Oryzias latipes: one gene and its partners. The main gene of each other region encodes a partner of the protein of the gene in region 3 in a complex. Links are inferred from orthologs where the notes say so. Each region holds a gene or a part of one and is shown on either strand. Other genes may lie near its edges.

Region 1 (3,750 bases), on a different chromosome or scaffold from region 3:
CGGGTTCTTTTTGGAACGTAACCCCCGCGAAAAACAAGGGTTTACTGTACATTTCTTTTTCCTACCATGTTTTACCCCCATTAACATTAAAATAAATGTTAACATGCAGTACATTTTGTGAAACATTTAAGAGCTTATCATCATTTAATATTTAAAGACATACTCTGACCGTAAAATGCTTTTATGTATTTTGCGCACATGCGTTGACACATCAGGTAGCGAGAGTAGAGCTCTTCAAAATAAACTGACTTGATCTCTCAACTTCTGTGTCGTCCATGTATTGTAAACGACAAATACAGTCAATGCTTTCATGTAGAAGACGCATGAGGCAAATAAACATTAGCTCCTCCCACATGCGTCACAATTATGAACCTATTTTTGGACAGGTAGCCAGCAGCGAATCCGACATTTGTTCCAGTTGAAGCGGCCAACGCAAATTTGTGAGCGCAGCATTAGAGGTCCAACACTGAACCTCCAGAGGAGGCCATGTTTCTATTAATCATGTACCCATCTCAGGAAAATAAGAAAACGGTCGCTGCACTGCAGACGATTGCCGACAGACGGCAGCCGTCTGTGTTCCTGCTGAAGGTGGACCAGCTTCTTACCCTTCCATAACCGCACGCAGCCATCGTCCCCAGAGGAAGCCAGCAGGGTGCTTGTGATGTTCCAGCTCACACGCCACACCTGGGAGTTGTGATTGTCGAACTGCGCAACAATCTGCACCTCAAACTTGCTGGGTCCGGTGGATGAGCTCTCCTTCCTGTTCCAGAGAACCAAGACACATTTTCTGTTCATTTTCTTCCTCCTTTTATTTCAAAAGCTGTGTGCTTCGAGAAATGCACCAGAACACATGATGATGACAATCACCTCATGGGGGCAAGCTTGAATATTCTGACATCTTTTGTTGCAATAGCGAGAACATGGAAAGATCTCCCCAGGTTGGGAGCGAACGCGATGTCGTGGACTGCGTCGGTGACAGTCATCAGAGTCTCCACTTTGCCGTATTTCCTTTAGAAGAAACAGGAAGTGTCAGGAGGCCGCTGCATCTCTGGCCGCTGTGTGCTGAACACGCTCACCGTGTGTTTTCGTTGTACTCATAGATCTGAACCTTCCCACCGCTCGCGATGTTGCTGTCATCACTGCCCACGGCAAACATGGAAGGGTGAGCCCGTGAGCTGGGAGAGAATGATGAGATGAGATGATTCAGCAGAAATCCGCCGCTCCTGCCTTCACTCCGACCTGTCATCAGGCAGTGGCGCAGACGTGCTCTTCGTTTGTGTGTAATGCCATGTGGAAACTTAGAATGACACTCTGTGCCCAGCTTCACAGACACATGGAGCAGAACTGAACCTCCATCAAACTTATGGTCTGGTCAGCTCATCCAGAATATGAAAAAGCTATATAACCTGGAGGGGTTCCATGAAATGCAGCTGCAGCTGAGCTTGCATGAGATCTCGTGTTGCAGCGACCACTGGCTCAGGTTCATCACATCCGGAGCTTCGTAGATCCTCACCACGCCGTCCGCAGAGCAGGTGGTCAGCATCAGACCCATGTGTTTAGGAGCAAACTTCACATCGGTCACTGATGTCCTACTGTCCACAAGTGTGGTCCTCTTAATCTGGAATGGAGAAGCAAGAAACACTCACATGACCTCCACCTGCTGCAGGTTGTCGCTGCAACTGCCCGCTCCCAACCCAGCACTGACCCAGTGGCTCAAGCCTCTCTGCTTGTCGTTGGATTCTCCTACAATCTCCTCCCAAACCGCAGCGGTTCGGTCAAAGGAGCAGGAGGCCAAAACCTGCCCGAACTCTGGATGAGCCCAGGTCACTCTCCACACTGAGCCGCTGTGTGTCTGCAGAGAGAAACCAGGAGGAGGAGGCTCACATCTGTTCAGCACAGAAGGTGGAGTTCGGCGTGAGGATGGAGGCGTTTTACCTTCCAGCTGGCTGTGCAGAGCCACTCTCCACTCTCGCTTTTGTCCCAAACCTCAGAAAAACAAACAGAGCTCTGAATGTGACACATGGCCGCGCGGCAGCCCGGGAACGGTTCATCACAGTCGAGGACCGCGGGCGCGAGCTCAGAGGCTAACGTTAGCTTACCTTCACACTCTGGTCACTGGAGCAAGTCGCCATTCTCCGGCCGTGAAAGTCGTACGACACATCGTGAATTAGATCTTTGTGATCCGCCGCGATACTACGAGCCACAAACATGATCCCGGTAGCAGCGCGCCGCCAGCGATAGCTTCACCAGCGCGTTAGCAGGCCTACCGCAGAAATCATCCAGCTTTGAGACCTGCTTTTTTTGTTTAACTTTATTGTACAAAACGGAAGTACAATACAAAACACAATTTTACAAAATAAACTTCAGGTATGCCAGGGGAGCATTCATATTACATGCATTTTACATAAAAACATTCAGGTTTCTACAACTTTCATATAAACATACAGCTTTCTGATTAAGACTTTTGGAGATGTTACTGATATACATTTCAATTTGTTTGATTAACAAGGGGAAAAAATAGAAGATGAAGGAAATTTACGTTTATGAATATAAAATTTGCCAAAAATAATAATAAGATTAATTATGAGTTTTTTATTAGAGGCCAAGTTTTTATTATGAAAACCAAATATGATATATTCATACTTCAGAGTAAAGTTGGGGTGGATTTGTTTTTCAATAAATTGTAAACTTCTAATCTCAGTAAAATTCCAAAAAAGCGGTTAATTGTTTCTTTGCAATAAGGACAATTAGGATCAATTGTTTTAATGTATCTTATCATGAATTGATTGGTGGGGTAAATTCTGTGAATTATTTTAAGAGAAACTTCTTTCATTTTATTACTTATCATAAGTTTGTGGGTCACACTCCAGGCTTTCCTCCAAATACTTTCAGGAACAAAACGTCTTAAAGGAATTTAGGAACTTGTGAGGAATTTAGGCAGAAGTTGAGGCAGGTCCTGGGTGGTCAGGATGAGCTTCCAGAGGACTGGGAAACTACAGCAGAGATTATCAGGGAAACAGGTAGGAAGGTGCTAGGTGTGTCATCTGGAAAGAGGAAAGACGGTAAAGAGACTTGGTGGTGGAATGAGGAAGTACAGGAATGCGTCCAGAGGAAGAGGTTGGCTAAAAGGAAGTGGGATGTAGAAAGGACTGAGGAAGGTAGACAGGAGTACAAGGAAGCGCAGCGTAGAGTGAAGAGAGAGGTGGCAAAGGCCAAACAGAAATCTTACGATGAGCTATATGACAGGTTAGACACAAAGGAAGGAGAGAAGGACTTGTACAGGCTAGCCAGACAGAGAGACAGAGATGGGAAGGACGTGCAACAGATAAGGGTGATTAAGGACAGAGATGGAAAGGTGCTAACAACCCAAGAGAGTGTACAGAAAAGATGGAAGGAGTATTTTGAGGAGCTGATGAACGAGGAAAATGACAGGGAAAGAAGGGAGGAAGATGTGGTTGTTGTGGAGCAGGAAGTAGCAGAGATTGGAAAGGATGAGGTTAGGAAGGCTCTGAAAAGGATGAAGAGCGGAAAGGCCGTTGGTCCTGATGACGTACCTGTGGAGGTATGGAAGTGCCTAGGAGAGACAGCAGTGGAATTTCTAACAAGGTTGTTCAATAGGATTCTAGAGAGTGAGAAGATGCCTGAGGAATGGAGGAGAAGCGTTCTGGTCCCGATCTTTAAGAACAAGGGTGACATGCAGAACTGCAGCAACTATAGAGGAATAAAGTTGATGAGCCACACAATGAAGCT
Region 2 (3,192 bases), on a different chromosome or scaffold from region 3:
GCTCGGATATCTTTTTTTTGATAATATGTATTCTGTAGGCGGAGCTTGTTGGCGCCCACGTTCGACGTTCAAAACGTTTGACAGATTTCGTGTGGCCTGCTTTTAAGCAGTAGGGGTGTGGCCTTCCACCAAACTCAGAGTGTCAAGAGGGGTTTCCATAGAAACCTCGACTCAGACAAATCACTGGTTCAAAGCATGGCAGCTTATGTCTCATGAAAAAATGGCGGCTAAATTGGCTGTAGCCAGATGTTTGGGGGGGTTTGAGGGACTATAAGCTAGTGGAAGAGCGCATAATCAGAGAGCTCTCCGAGCCAAGACCTGCCCCCCCCCAACTCAAAACAAATTTCAAGATGAACTCCTGCCGCTCTGCAGAAACTATGTCCTGGAAAACGTTTTTATATTTTGGCTAAAAACGGCATAATTTTTATGAAAAGACACTGGGATGCTTTGAAAACAGATCAGAAGATGATCAGAGAGGAACCTTAAATAAGGGGCAGAAAAGATTATTTTTAGTCACAGAAAATTAATGAAAATGAAAAACTTGGTGGAGTTGTACCTGTGATAAAGAGATTATCGTTGCTGATTTTAGTGGGTTTTATATGATGGCAATAAAGAATTGAATCTGATCTAATCTAATCTAATGCACATTACACAACCAACAAGGTGAAGAATCCTGTTGACTTTAACAAACCCATGAAACTCGAGGATAGAGCTTCACATCTGTTTTCTGTAGAAAAGGGAAGATCTGACTGTGAATCTCTCAGAATGAGGATTACAGTTGTTGTACCAGCTTTGTGTAACGCGTGGAGTCAAGGCGACGGCAGCATTATCTCCAGCAAACACAACCGTTTCGTGAGCAGATGGCGGAGCGGCGTTTGGATCCCATGGCGTTCCTACCTGAACCAGCTGAGCATGTGGCCGGCGTGGCCACCGTGCCGACAGTTGTGACACCAGGTGAACCAGTTGTTGAACTTGGCGAGTTTGTTCTCCCTCGTCAAATCTGCTTTCTCTTCTGACTTTCCGGCTCCTGAAGAGAAGAACGAGGCTTTAGTTTGCAGAGTAACGGTGGATCAGGAGACTTTTCCAGAAAAGCTGCATGACAGAGAGACGCAGAGGAGGTGCTATGGTGATGCGGGCCGGTGTAGGTACCAAAACTGTTCAGCCTGCAGTAAGTGATGATGTCACACTATTTGATTGGCTGTTCGTTGGTCCGATGACGTGTAAGATAGTGATTGATCCGGCCAAATTACGGTACAACTGTCGTAAACAAACAAAGCACTGACATAGAGCGAGATGATCTTCTAAACAGGCTTTTATTATTGTTATGATTATTACTAAGTGCATTTTCGCTTATAGTTTTTTCAATCTGTGCAGGCAGTGCTTTATTATAGGCAGAATGGAGCCAGAAGGGTTAGGATTAGGTTCATGCGTGCTAACAACATTTAGCTATGGATGAACTTATACTGGAATAACCACCAGCCTTTATTTTGTCTGGACCCGACTGGAAACACAAATTCACATGATTGTTTGCACGGTTTCTCAGGACTATTCATTTAAAAGCCGCCTCCTCTGCTTGGAGATACAAATCTCCCGGGAGACACGGTTCTCCTGAGTGCGGCAGCTCGCTCCAGCAGGCAAGAATGGCTACGAGTCCGGCTGCTCGGCTCGGCTCATTCTAACAAAAAATGTCTCTACAAATACTAATGTCGGACACACTTATGAGGGAAAAGAACTACAGGTTATGAAAGGAAACGTCAAATGAAAATATGTAGCAACCGAGCAGATCTCGACGCTACGTTGTTGGGTTACAGTCCTGTGACAGTTTTGGTACCTTCACCCGTCTCTGCTTCACATCCCCACCTGGACAGTTGGAAACCGGCGTGCCCATGTTCATGAGGCAGAGGGCGCAGCGGGGCAGAGGTTTCCTGCACCCGGGGCAGCTGGTGACTTTGGACTTGGTGGGCGAGCCGCTGACCCCGTACTGGCTGAAGCCCCGGCCTTGATGGGGCAAGGCGGAGCAGCTGTAGGAGATGGACTTCCCGCAGAAGTTGCAGCTCACGAACACCTGCCAGGAGCAAACAAAGGTCGGCTGATAAGATCCAAACCAAACAAGCTCACCAGATGTCTGCATGTTTAAAGACACAGATTAAGCTGCAACAAGCACAACACACAGTTCTGGAATGAGTCTTTTTACAGCAGCAAATACTGCTAATGAAGCATAAAAAGTGGAACAAATGTTGGTCTTCTTAAGAAATGAACAGAAGTCAAGTGTATTCACAGTCTGGGGAGAAGTCCTTGAATTTGTGAGGCCTTGCAGAACCACATTTCATGTTTGGACAAACAGTTTTATCGTCGTTTTAGGCATGACACAACAACTGCTCAAAACCTGTTTGTAACATTATCGTTCCTGCAGATTCGACGTGGACAACACTTGCAAAAGAGCAAAACTCTCAAGTAACAGAAGTTTTAGTGAAAATGATAAATGCCTGAAGAGAGGAGCTTGAACTTTTTACTTTTTTAATTTTACTTAGAAACACGAGAGACAAAAGCACAGAGATGTTGTCTTTCTATGCTGATGAAGTTATTTTATTTCAAAAGGTGAATGTTAAAAACAAAAACTTACATAAATCTATGATTAGGGTCAATGCCATGCAAAACAATGTAACCCAGCAGAAAAGATTTCTAAAAATCCTTATAAGGCCATAAAACTTATTCAAGAACAGCTAAAGTGGATTCTTCTGCTAAAATAAAATGATATCTTGTTAAAGTGAATTTGGAAATAAAAAAGTAGCTGAAGAAAACCTGAACAGAGATAAATGATGTGAATTTCACATCCTACATGTTTATTTGTGTTTTCTAAAATGCTGAAAACGCTAAACTACATGCTGATAATGAAAGAAAGCAAGAATACGGAACACAAAAGTAGCTTTAGAACAAACAAAAATGCTTCAAAAGCAAGAAAAAAATTGTTCTAAAAGTCCAAAAGCAAAAGAATCCGAATGCTTCGACATCATGGAGTGTGTGGTTTGACACCCTTAAAAGTAATTAAGAAGAGAAGGAGGACTCCATCCCATAATAGTGGATCACCTGTGCGAGGGGCTTGGAGCTGGGGTCCAGCTTTCCTCTGAGGATGTCAAACTCGGCCCGTTTGTGCCAGAACCTCCAGGCGTCCAGCAGGTTGCGGTAGTTTTC
Region 3 (3,750 bases):
TTTTTTAAGAGTTACTCTATTACTTTCTTTTAAGAGTTACTCTATTACTTTTTAAGAGTTACTCTATTACTTTTTAAGAGTTACTCTATTACTTTTTTAAGAGTTACTCTATTACTTTCTTTTAAGAGTTACTCTATTACTTACTTTAAAGAGTTACTCTATTACTTTATTTTAAGAGTTACTCTATTACTTTCTTTCAAGAGTTACTCTATTACTTTCTTTCAAGAGTTACTCTATTACTTTCTTTCAAGAGTTCCTCCCAAACAGTCACATCTCTGCAGCCAAATGCTGTCTGACATCATTCTATCACATCTTTACACATAGTCCATGTTTCCTCTGCAGTAACTAAAGCCTAATATTCGACTTTTTACAACAATCTTACAGCTGTGTGGATATTTATGGGCTGTAGTAAATACTTCATCAGTTTTCCGCTTCGTCCAGAAGCTTCAGAGAATCGATCCATCCACTCTAATACTTTCAGAATTTGGTCTTCATTTTGTTAAGAACAGCGTCTGCTGACTAGTTTATTCCTGATATCGTCTGGAAAACGTGTTTTCCTACTAAAGTTTTGGATCAAGAACAGCTCAGCTGCTGGGATCAGGGGGGTATTCCAGGAAGCATGTTTAAACTAGCCTGACTTTAAGCCTGAACTCTGGCTGAAATCCGCCTGAACTTGCTTACTCTGGGTATGTCGGTTCCAAAAGACCGGATATGAGTTGGCGTAATTACGCTCGACTTGGTAACCCTGGGTTAACGCACGGTACATAAAGACATTCTCAATAGATCGCCGATTTCTGGAGTCACCATGGAAACGCGTGGAGAAAAAAAAAGAAAGCGCGACACTTGAGACGGAGTCTGAGATTTTAATGACGGCGGATAGAAATTATAAGTCCATCAAAAAAGTAACACGGCTGAAAGATAATTTAGTTAAATTTATTCAAACTCAATAATTGTTTATACAACTCAAATTTACGTATTTATCTAACTAAATGTCACATTACTCCATTAATCTTTTTTCCATCTTAATTACTTATATTTCTTGAACTTTCATATGTCTAAGTTTGAGCCGGCAGATATGCTCATTTTTATAACAATAAAAAGAAACGGAAAAAAATGCACCGAGTGCAAAAACTCACTAAAGAATTTCCCGTCACTGTCATAACAGTACTTAGCTGTAGGGGTGCTAAATAAACTCATCATCCTCTCCTTCACTCTCACTCATGGTGCAGAGACGTAAGCATAGTAGGACAAATTGGCTCGGCCAAACACGAAGAAACACAGTAAAACAGCTATACAACTAAAACATTTGGTCAAAAAGCCACACTTTAACCCAAATCCGTCCAGACAGGCAAAGGGAATGATTTCCCACAATCCCTTGCGGTGCCGATCTAACAGCAGCATCAAAGTTACACCTACTTAATTGAATTAATTTGAACGAAAGGAAAATAACTGTCTGAAAACTACGTGTTATTTTTAACAAAAAAATTTCTAACAAAAAAAATGATTTATCTTAACTGAAGCAAATAATGAAGTTAGATCAAAGTATAAAGTTTATCTTTCCAACATCCATTTGTGGTCTTATCACCCTCTCATGGTGGAAAAAGTATTATCTGAGCTTCTTCATCCACTAAATCCTCTTCAAATGGACACGCCATGCTGCTTCACCTCTCTGAAAACAAACTAACCTTCAACTAAACCTGCTCCAGACCAGGTTACGTTCAGAGCATGAGTTGCCATGGTAACTTGACCTACCCTGAAACATACCTCCATTTCTGGAACCAAAAGCTGAGGTTATCAACTTCCTTAGCCTCAAACTTATCGTGGGAGCTAGCATAACCTGCTTTCTGGAATACCCCCCAGCAGTAGAGGAGAGAATAATTACTAAACACAAAAAAGCGGCTTCAAAGAAACCGCCTGCCGTTCAGTCCAGACCACGTGACAAACGTATTTCTACTTTAACAAACGGATAAAATGTGACAAAATTGTCAGCAAATCTGTTCTAAAGTCAGAGAAAAACAAAGAAACGTCAGATAAAGACCAAAGCGACACCTGAGCGTCCCGGAACTCCACCACCACATTCTCGCTGCTCCAGCGCGCCGCCATCTTCCTTCCCTGTCAACAAATGTCACGTGACCCGAAGGAGCCGGATGTAGAAAAAACCAACAACACAAGCATATCAGGTTTAAGGATTCCCCCTAAAAAGATGTGCATGGATTAATAAACACGTGAAAAACCTGAAACAGTAAATGTTTATTTTTTGGTTAAATCAATTAATCTTTATGTTTTCGTTCATTTTGGCTTTTATGTTTTTATTCATTTATTTATTAAATTTGACTTTATTTTGTTAAGCTTTTAATGTACAGAGTTTTATTTAGATTTAATTGTGTTAAACTGCTCTATAAATAAACTTGATGAGGAATCTTTTTCCTGATCAACCTTTTTTAATTTTCTCACTTCAATCTAGAATAATGTTAACGTTCTAATTATACACAATCTCAGAAATAAATTCCTGAAATTTCCTTTTGTTTTTGCTTAGATCTGTGGAAATCTTCACATTTCCACAACTGCAAAACATTTTTATTTCTAAATAAAAATACAGTTTAACTTGAAAAAACATTTTAAAATTTTTCGTCAAAGCTGAACAATATTTGAAATTGCAAAACAATTCGGTGATTTTAAATACTGAATTCTCCGAAGAGGCAGTGAAGGCATCACCATGGTAATCAAAGCCGGTCACGTGGAAGCCAACCTCACTTTCCCAGTGCGCTTGAAAGCTCGAGGCACGTGACAGCCGTCTGCCCTGTGATTGGTCGTTGATGTGGCTGCTCGTTTACCAAGATGGCGCCGACCCTGGTGGAGCATGTTGTCGCTGACGCCGGTGCGTTTCTGAAGAGAGCACCTCTACAGGTGAGAACACGTGATCCGCGGACAGGTGAGAGGGTGTGCAGGTATTTGGGAGATGCCGCGAGACCGGAATGTGGGTGTGGGGGGTGGGGGGGCATCGGCGTGTCCGGATCTGAGGCCCTGATCTGTGATCCAGGAGATCGGAGCGAACATCTACACGCTGCGGGATGTGGTGGACGAGATCCGGGACAAAGAGACCCGGAGGAGCCTGGCTGTGCTGCCGTACCAGCTGCACTTCAGGGAGCCGCATCCGGAGCACGTCAGACACGGTGACACCTGAACGCACCACGCGCGCACCAAAACATGGCACTTTACTCAGCTGTAACCATTACACAGACCGCACCTGAACGCACCACGCGCACCAAAACATGGCACTGACCCCGCCCCTTTCGACCGTTGTCATGGAGATTAATGCTGAGTGTGAAATTTTTGAGGCTTTGAATTTTTTCACCTCCATGATGAAAAATTTTATCAGAGGTCATCTGCCATGAAGGAGGCAGATGACCTCTGACCTCTGGTGTCCTCTCTGACCACGCCCACTGACCGCTCCGTTGGTCAGTGGTGCAGATTGACAGCTGTTGGGCTGCTGCTCAGCTGGGGGACATTTTCTGAGCTGGCTGGGTTTGTTGATTCTTTCCCGTCTGACGTTCTCCAGTGACCGAGTTCTCCAAGAAGACCGGCGACTACCCGAGTCTGTCCGCCACCGACATCCGCGTTCTGGCTCTGACCTACCAGCTGCAGCTGGAGCACGAGGGGGCGGAGCACCTGAGGGAGGAGCCGCTGCTGCAGGTGAACATCCAGAGCACGCCGCGCCACCCCGAGACTCCGGTCAACGTCCCCGGCTTC

Evidence for each region.
Region 1: the proteins of wdr59 (region 3) and seh1l are in contact, whole or in part, in a cryo-EM structure (PDB 7UHY), measured with the Homo sapiens proteins. The link is inferred for Oryzias latipes from reciprocal best matches to the Homo sapiens genes WDR59 and SEH1L. Residues at the interface, in NP_085058.3 of Homo sapiens: Pro713, Asp714, Glu716, Thr717, Pro718, Arg721, Arg837, Glu840, Gln843, His844, Asn847; in NP_112493.2 of Homo sapiens: Asn308, Tyr309, Met310, Asn312, Lys314.
Region 2: the proteins of wdr59 (region 3) and mios are in contact, whole or in part, in a cryo-EM structure (PDB 7UHY), measured with the Homo sapiens proteins. The link is inferred for Oryzias latipes from reciprocal best matches to the Homo sapiens genes WDR59 and MIOS. Residues at the interface, in NP_085058.3 of Homo sapiens: Tyr871, Arg876, Glu877, Arg879, Ala880, Glu881, Leu883, Lys884, Pro889, Pro890, His893, Lys894, Gly895, Ile896, Glu897, Phe898, Gly899, Val900, Tyr901, Arg906, Glu908, Val909, Arg910, Thr912, Phe922, Gln923, Ala925, Ile926, Cys927, His928; in NP_001357005.1 of Homo sapiens: Asp705, Trp710, His711, Arg713, Ala714, Ile718, Ser721, Lys728, Pro729, Leu730, Ala731, Gln732, Val733, Phe734, Val735, Ser736, Cys737, Asn738, Phe739, Ile744, Lys780, Pro781, Leu782, Pro783, Leu787, Cys788, Leu789, Gly793, Pro795, Gln819.

What each region holds. Positions count from the first base shown.
Region 1 is NC_019874.2:7,224,024-7,227,773, reverse strand, and holds the start of seh1l (nucleoporin SEH1), read right to left. Parts: upstream 2,325-3,750; 5' UTR 2,211-2,324; coding exon 2,100-2,210; intron 1,987-2,099; coding exon 1,936-1,986; intron 1,853-1,935; coding exon 1,706-1,852; intron 1,619-1,705; coding exon 1,407-1,618; intron 1,176-1,406; coding exon 1,077-1,175; intron 1,009-1,076; coding exon 868-1,008; intron 761-867; coding exon 606-760; intron 1-605. UniProt on the Homo sapiens protein: Component of the Nup107-160 subcomplex of the nuclear pore complex (NPC). The Nup107-160 subcomplex is required for the assembly of a functional NPC.
Region 2 is NC_019874.2:30,589,588-30,592,779, reverse strand, and holds part of mios (GATOR complex protein MIOS), read right to left. Parts: coding exon 3,088-3,192; intron 2,066-3,087; coding exon 1,861-2,065; intron 1,028-1,860; coding exon 898-1,027; intron 1-897. UniProt on the Homo sapiens protein: As a component of the GATOR2 complex, functions as an activator of the amino acid-sensing branch of the mTORC1 signaling pathway. The GATOR2 complex indirectly activates mTORC1 through the inhibition of the GATOR1 subcomplex.
Region 3 is NC_019861.2:37,932,308-37,936,057, forward strand, and holds the start of wdr59 (GATOR complex protein WDR59), read right to left. Parts: upstream 2,218-3,750; 5' UTR 2,104-2,217; coding exon 2,050-2,103; intron 1-2,049. Other genes in the region: RNA-binding protein NOB1, read left to right, coding at 2,839-2,907, 3,041-3,173, 3,560-3,750. UniProt on the Homo sapiens protein: As a component of the GATOR2 complex, functions as an activator of the amino acid-sensing branch of the mTORC1 signaling pathway. The GATOR2 complex indirectly activates mTORC1 through the inhibition of the GATOR1 subcomplex.